Linked DNA regions of Oryzias latipes. The protein of the gene in region 2 purifies or fractionates together with the protein of the main gene of each other region. This does not show direct contact. Links are inferred from orthologs where the notes say so. Each region holds a gene or a part of one and is shown on either strand. Other genes may lie near its edges.

Region 1 (5,066 bases), on a different chromosome or scaffold from region 2:
TGATGTACTCGTTCCTTATCCTGTCTAACCTGGTCACTCCTAAGGAGAACCTCAACATCTTCATCTCCGCTACCTCCATCTCAGCCTCTTGTCTCTGTCTCACTGCTACCGTCTCTAACCCATAGAGCAGAGCTGGTCTCACCACTGTCTTGTACACCTTTCCTTTGAGTCTTGCTGGCACTCTTCTGTCACACAACACTCCTGACACTTTCCTCCACCCGCTCCAACCTGCCTGCACTCGCCTCTTCACCTCTTTTCCACACTCCCCATCACACTGAACTGTTGACCCCAAGTACTTAAACTCCTGCACCTTCTTCACCTCAGCCCCCTGTAACCTAACGCTTCTACCTTGATCCCTCTCGTTCAGACACATGTATTCTGTCTTACTACGACTGACCTTCATGCCTCTTCTTTCCAGAGCAAACCTCCACCTCTCTAGCTGTTCCTCCACCTGCTCTCTACTCTCACTGCAAATTACGATGTCATCCGCAAACATCATTGTCCAGGGAGATTCCTGTCTTACCTCGTCTGTCAGCCTGTCCATCAGCATAGCAAACAAAAAAGGACTCAAAGCTGATCCTTGGTGTAGTCCCACCTCCACCTTGAACTCCTCTGTCTGACCTACAGCACATCTCACCACCGTCATACTTCTCTCATACATGTCCTGAACTACTCTGACATACTTCTCTGCCACTCCAGACGACCTCATACAGTACCACAGCTCCTCCCTCGGCACCCTGTCATACGCCTTCTCTAAATCTACGAACACACAATGCAGCTCCTTCTGACCTTCTCTGTACTTTTCCATCAACATTCTCAAAGCAAAAATGGCATCAGTGGTGCTCTTACGGGGCATGAAACCATACTGCTGCTCACAAATCTCCACCTTCTTCCTAAGCCTGGCTTCCACTACTCTTTCCCACAGCTTCATTGTGTGGCTCATCAACTTTATTCCTCTATAGTTGCTGCAGTTCTGCGTGTCACCCTTGTTCTTAAAGATCGGAACCAGAACGCTTCTCCTCCATTCCTCAGGCATCTTCTCACTCTCTAGAATCCTATTGAAAAAACTCGTTAGAAATTCCACTGCTGTCTCTCCTAAGCACTTCCATACCTCCACAGGTACGTCATCAGGACCAACGGCCTTTCCGCTCTTCATCCTTTTCAGAGCCTTCCTAACCTCATCCTTTCCAATCTCTGCTACTTCCTGCTCCACAACAACCACATCTTCCTCCCTTCTTTCCCTGTCATTTTCCTCGTTCATCAGCTCCTCAAAATACTCCTTCCATCTTTTCTGTACACTCTCCTGGGTTGTTAGCACCTTTCCGTCTCTGTCCTTAATCACCCTTATCTGTTGCACGTCCTTCCCATCTCTGTCTCTCTGTCTGGCTAGCCTGTACAAGTCCTTCTCTCCTTCCTTTGTGTCTAACCTGTCATATAGCTCATCGTAAGCTTTCTGTTTGGCCTTTGCCACCTCTCTCTTCACTCTACGCTGCGCTTCCTTGTACTCATGTCTACCTTCCTCAGTCCTTTCTACATCCCACTTCCTTTTAGCCAACCTCTTCCTCTGGACGCATTCCTGTACTTCCTCATTCCACCACCAAGTCTCTTTACCGTCTTTCCTCTTTCCAGATGACACACCTAGCACCTTCCTACCTGTTTCCCTGATAATCTCTGCTGTAGTTTCCCAGTCATCTGGAAGCTCATCCTGACCACCCAGGACCTGCCTCAACTTCTGCCTAAATTCCTCACAAGTTTCTTCATTCTGTAGCTTCCACCACTTGGTCTTCTTTTCTGTTTTCCCTCTCTTCTTCTTCCTGACCTCCAGAGTCATCTTACACACCACCATGCGGTGCTGTTTGGCTACACTCTCTCCTACCACCACTTTGCAGTCATTAACCTCTCTCAAATGACCTCGTCTACATAGGATGTAGTCCACCTGAGTACTCCTACCTCCACTTCTGTATGTCACTCTATGTTCCTCTCTCTTCTGGAAGTAAGTGTTGACTACAGCCATTTCCATCCTCTTCGCAAAGTCCACCACCATCTGTCCCTCCAGATTCCTTTCATTCACACCAAACCTGCCCATCACCTCCTCATCACCTCTGTTGCCCTCACCAACATGCCCATTAAAGTCTGCTCCAATAACAACTCTCTCTCCTCTGGGGATACTCTCTATGACCTCATCCAACTCACTCCAGAATCTCTCCTTCACTTCTAACTCACAGCCAACCTGTGGCGCATACCCACTGACTACATTCACCATCACCCCTTCAATTTCTAACTTTAGGCTCATCATCCTGTCTGAGACTCTTTTCACCTCTAGAACACTGTTTACAAACTCCCCCTTCAGAATCACACCTACCCCGTTTCTCTTCCTATCAACACCATGATAGAACAGTTTGTATCCTCCTCCAATACTACGTGCCTTGCTGCCCTTCCACCTTGTCTCCTGCACACACAGTACATCTACCTTCCTTCTCTCCATCATGTCTGCCAGCTCTCTGCCTTTCCCTGTCATTGTGCCAACGTTAAGAGTCCCTATTCTCAAACCTATGTTCCTGCCTTTTCCCTTCTCTCTCTGGCCACGGACCCTTCTGCCTCCCCTCTTTCTTCGACCAACAGTAGTCAAATTTCCACCGACACCCTGTAGGTTAACAGCATCGGTGGCGGTCGTTGTTAACCCGGGCCTCGACCGATCCGGTATGTCAAAAGTGTTGTGGATGATTCGCATGGTTATTTTGGCAATTTTTACGCCGGATGCCCTTCCTGACGCAACCCTCTCTATTTATCCGGGCTTGGGACCGGCACAGAGGCAACTGGCTTGCAACCCCTGTGGCTAGATTGCTTTACAGCGCATCGCGTAACACATTTGTGCTAATTTTTGTTAGCTTATAAAACGTCCACGACCGAAAAACGAGTGCTTTAAGTCGGTAACAGGTTTTAAAAACTGGAATCGAATAAATATACCAAACACATCAATATAAACTTTTAATTTCTTACTTTTCTTGTCTCTCTTTGACTTGGGCATGGTTGTTCACGTTGGCAGACAGCGCACGTGAAGCAAAAGGACCCCAAATGTTTCTTTTCCTGTAAGATGACCACACAGCGCCTGATTAAAAATAAAAAGAATTATCAGGTTTTTTTTTTTATTGAAATTACTTTAAACAATGATTTACCTAAACTAAACGCATTAAACTCATTGGTGATGCATTCCCCCCACATTCTAACATATTTTATCCATTAATTAATTTATGTATCAAACATGTAATTAGTTTTGTTCTAATGCCTGAAGAAATATGTGGACTTCTAAACTCTGCAACGTTGTGGACAAACTTTGATAGGGTACCGGATGTTCTCGGGTTGCCGGATGTTCTCGGGGTCCTTCGGGGTCCTTCGACCAATGATGACGTCACACTATTTGATTGGCTGTAAGTTGCCACGACCAATGAGTTAACGTAGCTAAGTTTTTTAAAAAACTTTATTGACAATTGCGGTATCATACATTAACAATGACATTAACGTTAACAACGAACAATAACGATGTAATCAATATTGCCTCGAAGATCAGTCACCATTGCCAAATATAACATATTGACATAGAAAATACATAATAGAGGGGAAAAAAAGAAACAATGAACATAACACACAAATAAATAAAAACATAAGTAAAATAAAATAAAGGAACATAGAAAAAATCTAAGTAGTCTAATACTAGTTAAGTTAGGGGTACTCGTGAAGTTTTTATTTCTGAACAAAACTAAGCAATTTCAAGCCATTCTTCTTTTTCATATAATGAAGTGATTGAAAGCAAAAACAGAGCTCTTTATTAAATGTTATAAAAGTGGTTTGGTCTTCAAAACTTGACCTCACCAAGATGGCGGTGCTCTCCTCCCATGAGGAACCACGTGATGTCTCCTCTAGTGATAGAACTCATTGGAAGGACCCTGAAGGACCCCGAGAACATCCGGCAACCCGAGAACATCCGGTACCTACACCGCCTATTTAGGAAACTAACACAAAAAACCTTTGGCTCTGATAACACAAATGGGTCACCTGCTTCACACTAGGAACTGAACATCGGTGTAGTGTTACTGCTCCAAATACCATCATGTGAACACCTAGCAGTGCCAATCAGGGAAAACTGGAGGGCAGATCATGTGTTGGCTTACTTGCTTCACTTACTCAGTGTGATGCACCATAAAGATCATTTTGAAACAGCTGGGCACTGATTTTGCAAAACAGCTATTAATACTTCAAATGCCCTTATCAATCATATACTTTCTTGAATGTTATTGCAGGAAAAGATTTATTGCATATTCTTTTCCGTACTCCTGTACACACTGAAGCTTTTATGCCCATTATAGCTGCCATCTGGTGGGGATTATGAACAGATTAACCTACAAAACAGCACCTGAGCCACAGAGAAGCAGCACACACAGTCAAAGCAATGCAGTACAGGTACAAATTGTTTCTGTTTACCTCTTTGTAATAGAATAGAGCAAATCTATCATTTTTGTAACCCAAAAATCCAGTTTGGACAGCTACTTCAGGAACAATATGTAACTTTAAGAAACACAAAAAGTGTTAGGGCTTCACGTAACAATAGAACATATAGATCTATTATGGTATAAAGTGGAAAAACAAGGAAAACACCACTGAAAATGCTATTAAAGCAGAGGTGTCCAAACTTTTGCAAAAAGGGCCAGATTTGGTGTGGTGAAAATGTGTTAGGGCCAACCTTTGTTTTGCATTATTTGTACCGTTATAACATAAAATGCAAATGAACCGATTGATTGATTTTTTTTCTCCAATGGGAAACTTTTCATTTCTTCACATTGAAAGGAATCAAACCAAAATCAACTTTCAGAGAAATGCATTCAAAATTACAGTGAAATTCCAATTTGAAGACCAAAAAGTCTGTCGGTGGAAAAAAAAACTTTCGTCAACACAGAATCTGAAGTGTTATTCCCCATTAAATGCTCGCTGTAAACTTTTACATGTAAATCATGAGAACAGGAAAATAAAACAAATAATGTAATTCAGAGTTGCAAACCATTGTGGTTTGT
Region 2 (4,932 bases):
TGAACGGAAGAAAGTTTGGACTTTGTCCTCCAAATATTTCCTTTCAAATAAACCGTGAGATGTTTGCTTTGAACTTCTTCACAGATGCCACCCAGCCAAATCCTCACTCCACATGGACATTGATGGAAACTGCTCCTTTTGTAAATTAGACACTGAAACAATCATGCATCTATTCTGGAAATGCACCCAAACAGCAACTTTTTGCAAAGACTTTACCTCTTTTGTTTAATGAAAAATGTATATGAAATTTGATCTAGTATACAAGGATATATTATTTGTTTTTATAATGTTAAACATTCACTAATAAGGGAATACTACTTAATTAACCTTTTAATAATACTAGCCAAATTTCATGTTCATAAATGCAAATTTTCTGAAAGAAAAGCCCCGATTCAAACTTTTTATGATTGAGTTAAACAAATAAACAAGAACAATAAAATCTTCTTCTAACCCCAAAGCTATAAGAACCTTTGACACTCTGGAATTTTTTAAGTGTACAGAATAGCAACTTGCAGCTTTTACTGCTCTTGTTTATGATCTTTTTTTTCCCTATGTTCTTTGTGTTCCCCTGGCATATTTTGTTACTCATTTTTCTATCTGTGTACTTTAAAGTTGACTTGATTTCGTACTAAGATCCTGTAAATCTTCAATAAAGATTTTTGAAAAAAAATAAATAAAAAGATATTTGCGCTCAAATTGGTTGGTTTGTGATAAAAGCCGTCACAACTTTTTTTTATGTCTTTAAAATTATGGAAAACGTTTGAAACATTCATAATAATAATAAAAACGTTACTTTTAAAATAATAAGTTTATGAAAAAAATATGTTTCTCTAATGAAAAGCCTGAGCAATTTAAATATCCCAAGCAGGCAACATAACATATAAAGTTTCAATAAAATAATAATAAGATTTGTAGCATTTTTTTTTTAAAAGAACTTTAGTTGTATGACACTTTTTACAAGAACATAATGTGAAAATTTGTCTTGAATATTCTAGAGAAACTTGTTGCAGATTTCATAGGAAAATGTCCTATGGTATGAGCAAAGCATAAATCATTTCACTGCAGTGAACCATTTTAAAAAGCAGATTGAAATGTAAGTGAGTTTTTTGTTTAAGCTTCAATTTAGCCAAAATCATGATGTTGATAATGATGATGATGACGATGATGAAGAAGAAGATGAGTTTTTGGATATTTAAAACATCAAAATTTTAAAAAATCAAATTTTTTTACAGATAACAAAAACACAGACAATCAGTCATAATAAAGTAGCAAGACACAATTCACAATCAGACACAGAAAGAAAGAAGAACACAGAATGAATAAAACTATAGAAAAGACAAAAATCTAAAAGAATAAATGGAAAAATAAATACAGAAAAGGTAACCAGGATGCAGAATTGAATGCAAATTTGCATCCCTTTTTTTTAAGTTTTTTTTAAACTTTATTGTTCAAAACAAATAGAAAAAATATGTATGACAAGAACAATAGTCATAACAACGAGAATGGGATGGTACATGTATTACAAAAGAAATATTACAGAAACATATTGATATGCATTGAAAATATTCAAAGACATACAGTTTTCATAAACATATATCGCCGTTTTGTTTAAGCTATTAGAAATAGTGTGCAAATAAGATTCGAATATGAATGTGCATCCCTTTTTTTGTAGACTTTAAAACTCTGTGCACGACGTAGAACTGTGAGTTCACAATCAGACGCTAGGGGGCGATGTCGGGAAAACGTCGACTCTAACGTTTCAACAGCCTTTTCCGGTTCGAGCGGAACCTCGTCTTTCCTCTTCTCCGTGCCGTTCGCGGACCTCAACGTGTCCGACAAGATGGCACTTTATAACTTTAAAAAAATTATGGTGGTTCCCACCGCCAAGGTAAGCTTTAATCAACGAATCCATGGTTTTAAAGTAGCTTCCGTTTCAGCCACGATTACAAGACGGCAAGAAGTGACGAACAAATAGAACGTTTTTTCAGAAGAGAGAAAACACGTGCTTGTTGTTCAGATCAGACGCTTAAGGCTCTTTCTGAGTTAGTGACCACAAATTGTACAAATAATTCAAGTGATCTTTCTTTTGTCAGTCTAAAAACACAGGTGATCCATTTCGTGAATGTTGTTCTTGTTGACAGTCTTGATTTCATGCGACATACATGTTAAGAAAATGGTTTCAAATGTAAAAAGACACTTTTTTTTTGATGAAACAGGATTTATTCATATCTGAAGGGTGGTTTGTGTTGACACTTGTTTTTTTCCCCCCTCTTCTTAAGGAATTTATCGACATCACCTTATCCAAAACCCAAAGGAAGACGCCCACAGTCGTACACAAACATTACCAGATTCACAGAATCAGACACTTTTACATGCGAAAAGTGAAATTCACCCAGCAGAACTACCATGACCGCCTCACACAGATCCTCACAGACTTCCCCAAACTGGACGTAAGTACCCATCCCTGGACTTTTGCCCGACTCCTGAGATGTGCTTGTTGAATAGCTGTGCTTGGTCTCTGCAGGATATCCACCCATTTTATGCTGATCTGATGAACGTGCTGTATGACAAGGACCACTACAAGCTGGCCTTGGGACAGATAAACATAGCTAAAAACTTAATTGACAAGTAAGTCTATTGGGGTTCCTTTGCTTTTTGTGGATGTGAAGATGCCTAACTCTGACATGAGCCAGTTGTCATGGTTACCTGGTTCTTTCCTTTCTTGGTCCAAATGGAATGACCAGCTGAAGAGTACTTGTTTTTTTTTCTGTTTATTTTCAAACACTTTCATTAATGTCCTTTTAACTATTTGGTGGCAGTCTGAACTTACAGTATTCGTTTTCGTAAACTCCCTCACTCATCTATAATGCTGTGTTTAGCTGATATTTGGATGCTGTAACTTCATTTTAAGTATTTTTGTTCTACTGATCAACCCAGATTAAAGCAGAGAGACTTGTTCTTTTAATTGTTGCAAATAAGAAGCCAAACCTGCCGCAGGAGCTATCAAGCATGTGTTTTTCTGCATCCTCCAGTGTTGCCAAAGACTATGTGCGCCTGATGAAATATGGAGACTCTCTGTATCGATGCAAACAGCTGAAGAGAGCCGCTCTGGGTCGAATGTGCACCATCCTGAAACGACAGAAGTCCAGTCTGGAGTATTTGGAACAAGGTGAACATTGCCCTGTGCTTGGTTTTATTGTTGTCAGAAGCCTAAATCAGAAGTTACCAACAGCCTCTTTGAATTGTGTTTCCACCCTCGCAGTGCGACAGCATCTGTCCCGTCTGCCGAGCATCGACCCCAACACCCGGACCCTTCTCCTGTGTGGTTACCCCAACGTGGGCAAGTCCAGCTTCATCAACAAGGTGATTGGTTTGAAGTACTCTTGAATAAACTGGATGCAGACTCCGTCATATGTGAGCATGCTGCTGACTGTCGTGTGTTCGAGCTGCTTGACTAAGCTGTTTCCGGAACGGGGTTAACATACATGTTCCTCATCAGGTCACCAGAGCTGATGTTGATGTCCAGCCTTATGCCTTCACCACCAAATCCCTGTTTGTGGGTCACATGGACTACAGATACCTCCGCTGGCAGGTGAGACGCTGCACCTGGTTGTCTTTCAGCGTCAGATTAGTCCTAATTAATCCATTTAATTTGATGTCACAAGCAAGGACTCTGTATTGATGAAAGCCAGGAGAGTCAACCATCGTGATATGGGGGTTTGTTGGGGTGGGAAACGTTAATGCCTCACGGGGGGGGGGGGGGGGGGGGGGTAGGTGCTGAGACAAGAGAGAGCAACAGACAGTAATTGTCCAAGCGGTGCAGTTGCTGACCAGTTGTAGCGTGTTTAGCGATTATTAAGACGAGGCTGAGGAGGAGAGTTACAGTACTTGGTGGGGCTGTGGATCAGGATCAAAGGGTTTTGGGGGGTGAATCTATCTATCTATCTATCTATTGATACCACGCAGATGGGAATATGTAGACTGGGTGATGATGTTGAAGTGATTACCAGAGATGAAACCATAAACTTTTCCCATAATTTGGCTCAAACCTCGATCTTTGGCTCACAGCTTTGTTACAATTTGATATTTCTCTGCAGTATTCCTTCGCTATGTCGAAATTAACCTTTCCCAGATCTTTCTGAGCAAAACCCCGCTCTAAAATCTGCTGGAGATCTTGTCGATCAATCTCCTCTGTGGCGTGCCTCCTGTGCAGTGTGTTCAGTTTGCCACATTTCCAAAATTCTATGATAACGAGCAGATCTTCCTTCTCATTCGACAATACTAGAGTTATACTGGAGTTTAAACAAGAGACAGAAGTGTGAAAATGTGTGTCTGTCTGAGGAAAGTGTATTAAGTGTGTAGTGAGGGATTCTGTAATTTCTCCTATTGCGAGTTATTTATAGAATGAAACCTCCACAGTAAAGGAGGGAACACTGTAATGCAACACAACAAAAAGCTAAAAAGAAAAGCCCTGTAAGCAACAGTTCTGCTGGCTTATACTAGACCTGGTAAAATGATAAATAATAAAGCTTTCTCCAATGTAGCCTAATAGCTTTGACACTTAAACTTTCTAAGATGCAGTGGGGAGGATGCAACGCTTCACTTTTCCCACAATAATGTTTAGTTGCGTAACATACGGTTTCAGGTTTAAACAGAATTGTGACATCCCTAGTGATTTCTAAATGATAGGTAGTTTGCCCTTTTTACATGGGTAACCATGAAGTCCACAGAAGGAAATGTTAACTTTTGAGGAGGGGGACTTAAAACCAACAAGTAGTATTTCTGTTTTGTCAGCATTGAATTGAATGAAAACCACGCTTTGATGTCTGAGAGAAAACTTTCCGTGCTGTCCTCATTAAAGAGCTATAAATGTGCTTGGAGTTGCCTTAAATCAATGTGGACTGCATGTTTCCTGTCTGTCTGTTTGTGCAG
Region 3 (4,785 bases), on a different chromosome or scaffold from region 2:
TAAGGAAGAGTTCAAAAGATGAAACATTTTAAAGAGTCACTCACTCCGCTGCTGGTTTGTCCATCTTATTCAGGAAACAAACACAGGGGATGCTGTGCTTTTCTGCCTGTCTCCATACAGTCATCGTTTGAGCCTGATGCGGTTTTATGTTACAGCCAACAGAAGCAGCTGTTAAAACTGTGAAATACTCAACAACAACAAAAAAAAAAAACCCAACAAATTTTTTTCTCTTAACCTCCACACCAGCAGACGCGTCAAACACGGCGACGGCTCCATCCAGAACGCGAAGCGCCCGCTCCACCTCCAGAGTAAAGTCAACGTGTCCTGCAGTCACACAAACATCTCTGTCTGCTCCTCATTTGAATGTGATCCACGCTTTGAGAGGCAGAGCATTTTACCTGGAGTGTCTATGAGGTTTATTCTGTGACTGTTCCAGTCGAAGGTGACTGCTGCCGACTGTATGGTGATGCCGCGCTCCCTCTCCTGAGCCATAAAATCTGTGACTGTATCCCCGTCGTCAACATCTACCAGCAGACAGAAAGAATAAACTAAGCAAAAGCGGTGAGAGCTCTGAGAAACAAAAACTGAGGCACGCGTCTGCACCTCCTAATGCCCTCGTATAGCCAGAGTAGTACAGCATCCTCTCTGTTGTGGTGGTTTTTCCTGCATCAATGTGGGCCATGATGCCAATATTTCGAATCCTGCGGGGTCAGATCACAGCTCAGCACAAGCATCGGAACAGAATTTGCTGATGCATTTCTAAAAAACAATCTGTCTTTCAAGAGCTAAAACGTACTTGGATATGTCAGGGGTGACCACAGCCCGCAGCGACTTAACATCATCTGTCACAACAGGATAAATCATTTAAAATCAGATTTCCAGCATACCGATGCATGGCAACAAATATTAAAAAGGTGAAAAAATCCCCAAATTTTCAATATCTGTAGAAAATGGACAGAGATCTACATCCTCACAACCTGAAACATATCGGTGGATTCAATATGCTACAGCGTCTGATCATAAACCAAACCTACCTGGAAGAAATCCATACTGTCTCTTTATAAAGCTGACTTTACATCTGCAGCTCTGTCGGCCAGCGGACACCAAACACCGTCCCTGTACATTAAATATAAGAAATCTTTTTGTTTGTGCTTTTACACTTAAGTTGCAGCTTTGAGATTTGGGGAAACACACATCCAACCAACATGAACTTATGTTTATGCTACAATACAGCAATAATGGTTTTTCACACAAGCTAAATAAACAATAAGACATGATTACAGTATTTGAAAAAGAATATTTTTAAATGATTTCTTACCCAAAGCATTCTGCTAATTGTGAAGCTGACAGGCTTCACCTTTTGCTAGAAACTCCTTTCCAATCCTCAATGCTCCAAACATGTAATGATACGTTCAGATTTATGCAGACTGAGAGAAGCGTCTAGCGGCTACATAAATATACCGAAACTTAGAGTTAAATTCTTCGTTATGCACATGTTATAAAAAATAATACAAATCGTTAAAATACCCTTGACAGCCGAAACAGGCATGTAACTTGTTTGAGACATGTTGTACACAACCTAAAATATACCCTCTAGAAACAACCCAACTGTTCTTTTTAGTTCCGTCAATAAATCGAAAACCTCACTTTGTCTATCCAAGTCTAATATGTTCTAAAATAGTCTTTTAAATATATTTAATAAATACTGTTATTTTCTTAATATATATTATTGACAACAGCGGGTCAGAATAAATATTTTTGTACAACTTTGCAGGTTTCTTGCAACGTACCGGATGTGTTGTAGATCAAGTGATGACGTATTTCCTCTACACATCGGCACGGGGGACAACAACACCGATAACCCCCAGCCTGGAAAGAAAAACCCAAAATAATCGGTGTATTTCGTAACTGCAACGATATTTGAAATATTAACAATCATACTTAACATCTCCAGCGCAAAATGGTGAGAAGCGTAATACTTTTAGTTTTGTTTTTGTTCACATTAAAGCGGCTAAGCGCGTTAGCATGTTATGCTAGTGTTAGCTGCGTGGGGCGACTTCACGTGTTGCTATAAATTTTAAGTTTATGGGTTTTTTTGGCATTATATATATCGCAAACTACTGAATGAAATGATTTCAGTACTGTATTTTCATCAGGGGAAACTAATAATTCCCAGTTTTATATAAACTAAACTGGAGCTAGTACTATCCGGGAGATTTTTGACGCACAACTATTGATTCGTAACACTTGTGGGTTTTTTTTCTGGAGAAATTTGCTCATTTGAAGGAAATCTGTTAACTGTGATTAAGTGGGTACATAGATGTTATGCTCCTACTTGTAATACAAATTCTAAGTCATAATTTCAACCTAAATCTTACAGCCATAACGGAAAATAAATTCAATGTTTGTTGCATTATTACACATCACTTGTGCACTTGTGTACAGATGCCAGTGACCCCTGGAAATGCCTTTATGTTAAATTGGATGCAATTAAAATGTTTTGAATGTGTCACCTAAAAACTCTGTACGTTACTCTATGTAAATAATTTTGTAAAATTAGAATTATTCTATTTTGAGATTCAAAACCACTTCTTTTTTGTGAATGTAGCCTCAGAACGAACACATTGAGCTGCACCGCAAGCGGCATGGCTACCGCCTCGACCATCACGAGAGGAAAAGGAAGAAGGAGAGTAGGGAGGCTCACGAGCGCTCCCACAAAGCCAAGAAACTGATCGGCTTGAAGGCCAAACTGTACCACAAACAGAGACATGCAGAGAAGATCCAGATGAAGAAGACGTGAGTAACGTTGGAAAAGTATGATCATTTCTTTGCTGTTACACAGAGTTCAACACACGACTCTTTGTTTATAGCATCAAAATGCACGAACAGAGGAAAACTAAGCAGAAGAATGACGACAAGACGCCAGAGGGAGCAGTCCCAGCCTACCTGCTGGACAGAGAAGGACAGTCCAGAGCAAAGGTGCTCTCCAACATGATTAAACAGAAAAGGAAGGAGAAGGCTGTAAGTAGAAGCCCTGCAGAGTTTATATTTTTAAACCACAGAAACCCAAATTTGATGTGCTTTTTGTGAATTGTTTTCCGTGTGCAGGGTAAATGGGAGGTGCCTTTGCCAAAGGTGCGTGCTCAAGGAGAGACTGAAGTACTGAAAGTCATCAAAACAGGGAAGAGGCAGAAGAAAGCGTGGAAGAGGATGGTCACTAAAGTGTGCTTTGTCGGGGACGGCTTCACACGTAAACCTCCAAAGTACGAGCGCTTCATCCGGCCCATGGTGAGAAGACGGGACGCTTCTGTTTAGGATTTTCTACAGTCAGATCTGCTTCAAATCAAAGACCCTGAAAACCTTAAGCACGTCTCCTTCGTGTTTCTTTTAGGGTTTGCGCTTTAAAAAGGCTCACGTCACTCATCCAGAGCTGAAAGCAACGTTCTGTCTCCCCATCCTCGGAGTGAAGAAGAACCCCTCCTCCCCCCTCTACACGTCTCTGGGCGTCATCACGAAGGGAACAGTGATAGAAGTCAATGTCAGCGAGCTGGGCCTGGTTACACAAGGAGGAAAGGTTATCTGGGGTGAGTTATCCATTCTGGTTCCAGCTGCACAGTACCGACAGTTTCAGCTTTAAAGTGTGGTTGAATCTAACTTGAGTTGGTGTTTTCGGTCTCTGTGTTGCTTTCCAGGTAAATACGCCCAGGTAACAAACAACCCAGAGAACGACGGCTGCATCAACGCCGTTTTGCTCGTCTGAGACTCAGAATGCCCGCTAACTGTGCCTGCCTACTCTTAATTTATGTTTAAGAGTACAGATTACATCAAAGATGCTTTGGACTTTGTTTCTTGGACCGTTTGGAATATCGGAAAGGTTGCTCGGAGCATTTTCTGCAACAAGGAGAAACTGAGAGAAAAAGGTGTTAAATTTCAAATAAATAAAACAAAACTTTAACGTTTTCTTGAATTGTTTGAACCAGTATTGTTTAGTAGGTGGAAGAATGGTATAATTTGACAGGTTTTTACATACAAAAGAATAAAATGCAACCACATTACCCAAAGCACAACGAAATTACCCGCAACAGAAATTAGGACTTTTTTTTGCTATCGGCGAAAAAACCCAATTCAGTCTCAAACTATTCGGCGCTCCTGAGAGCTACGTGATATTTGGACAAGATTAGGGTGTTTTCTTACTAGATAACGTCTTTTTTTTTTTTTAATGACTTAAGTCGTTTTAAAAAAACGCTGTTTTATTAGCCTGTCGAAAAACTCATCCTTTCATGTAAGTTATACTGTCAGAACAAAACATGTTTTTATTTTATTTTTATTGATGGGTAATGCCATAAAGACCCACTGTGGTTATCTGTTGATCTATTGTAGAAACGTTCCCAGTGGGTTTTTAATTAGGATTATGCTCTTTTTAGGTCAAATCTAAAAAACATGTCATTTTTGAGGACAATGTTTCTGCAGATTGGTTGTAGTTCATTTGAAAAGCAATTTTAAGATTAAAATTTCTTTACATAGATTCTCCAAAATCAGCAAAATATCCCGTTAACAGTTTCCATCAGTGGGTCTTTGTTGGTTTCTGCTGATATAAACTGAGCAGAAAAATGTCAAGTTCAACTTTATCTTATTGAACCCTGCTATTCTTTTGAAGTATTTCATTTCAAAAATCAGTGTTTTTATTGCAAACTAAAGTGCTGCTATAGTTTACCCAACACTAAACTCACCCTTAAAAATGTAAACATTGGTGACAAACGGCCAACCGACGGAAAGATTCACACA

The links. Proteins that work in one complex are often made in the same cells at the same time.
Region 1: the proteins of gtpbp4 (region 2) and mrto4 purify together in Homo sapiens (affinity purification with mass spectrometry; 3 studies listed by BioGRID and IntAct, counting the BioPlex papers as one, with this or other methods). This does not show direct contact. The link is inferred for Oryzias latipes from reciprocal best matches to the Homo sapiens genes GTPBP4 and MRTO4.
Region 3: the proteins of gtpbp4 (region 2) and nsa2 purify together in Homo sapiens (affinity purification with mass spectrometry; 3 studies listed by BioGRID and IntAct, counting the BioPlex papers as one, with this or other methods). This does not show direct contact. The link is inferred for Oryzias latipes from reciprocal best matches to the Homo sapiens genes GTPBP4 and NSA2.

The regions. Positions count from the first base shown.
Region 1 is NC_019863.2:9,138,906-9,143,971, forward strand, and holds the start of mrto4 (mRNA turnover protein 4 homolog), read right to left. Parts: upstream 3,126-5,066; 5' UTR 3,029-3,125; coding exon 3,001-3,028; intron 1-3,000. UniProt on the Homo sapiens protein: Component of the ribosome assembly machinery. Nuclear paralog of the ribosomal protein P0, it binds pre-60S subunits at an early stage of assembly in the nucleolus, and is replaced by P0 in cytoplasmic pre-60S subunits and mature 80S ribosomes.
Region 2 is NC_019875.2:8,398,982-8,403,913, forward strand, and holds the start of gtpbp4 (nucleolar GTP-binding protein 1), read left to right. Parts: upstream 1-1,754; 5' UTR 1,755-1,840; coding exon 1,841-1,888; intron 1,889-2,279; coding exon 2,280-2,450; intron 2,451-2,524; coding exon 2,525-2,628; intron 2,629-3,032; coding exon 3,033-3,169; intron 3,170-3,262; coding exon 3,263-3,363; intron 3,364-3,499; coding exon 3,500-3,592; intron 3,593-4,932. UniProt on the Homo sapiens protein: Involved in the biogenesis of the 60S ribosomal subunit. Acts as a TP53 repressor, preventing TP53 stabilization and cell cycle arrest.
Region 3 is NC_019870.2:5,749,396-5,754,180, forward strand, and holds nsa2 (ribosome biogenesis protein NSA2 homolog), read left to right. Parts: upstream 1-1,807; 5' UTR 1,808-1,960; coding exon 1,961-1,963; intron 1,964-2,608; coding exon 2,609-2,796; intron 2,797-2,870; coding exon 2,871-3,021; intron 3,022-3,108; coding exon 3,109-3,288; intron 3,289-3,391; coding exon 3,392-3,584; intron 3,585-3,692; coding exon 3,693-3,760; 3' UTR 3,761-3,960; downstream 3,961-4,785. Other genes in the region: gfm2 (ribosome-releasing factor 2, mitochondrial), read right to left, coding at 45-133, 236-324, 399-524, 604-701, 797-842, 1,035-1,116, 1,319-1,327. UniProt on the Homo sapiens protein: Involved in the biogenesis of the 60S ribosomal subunit. May play a part in the quality control of pre-60S particles.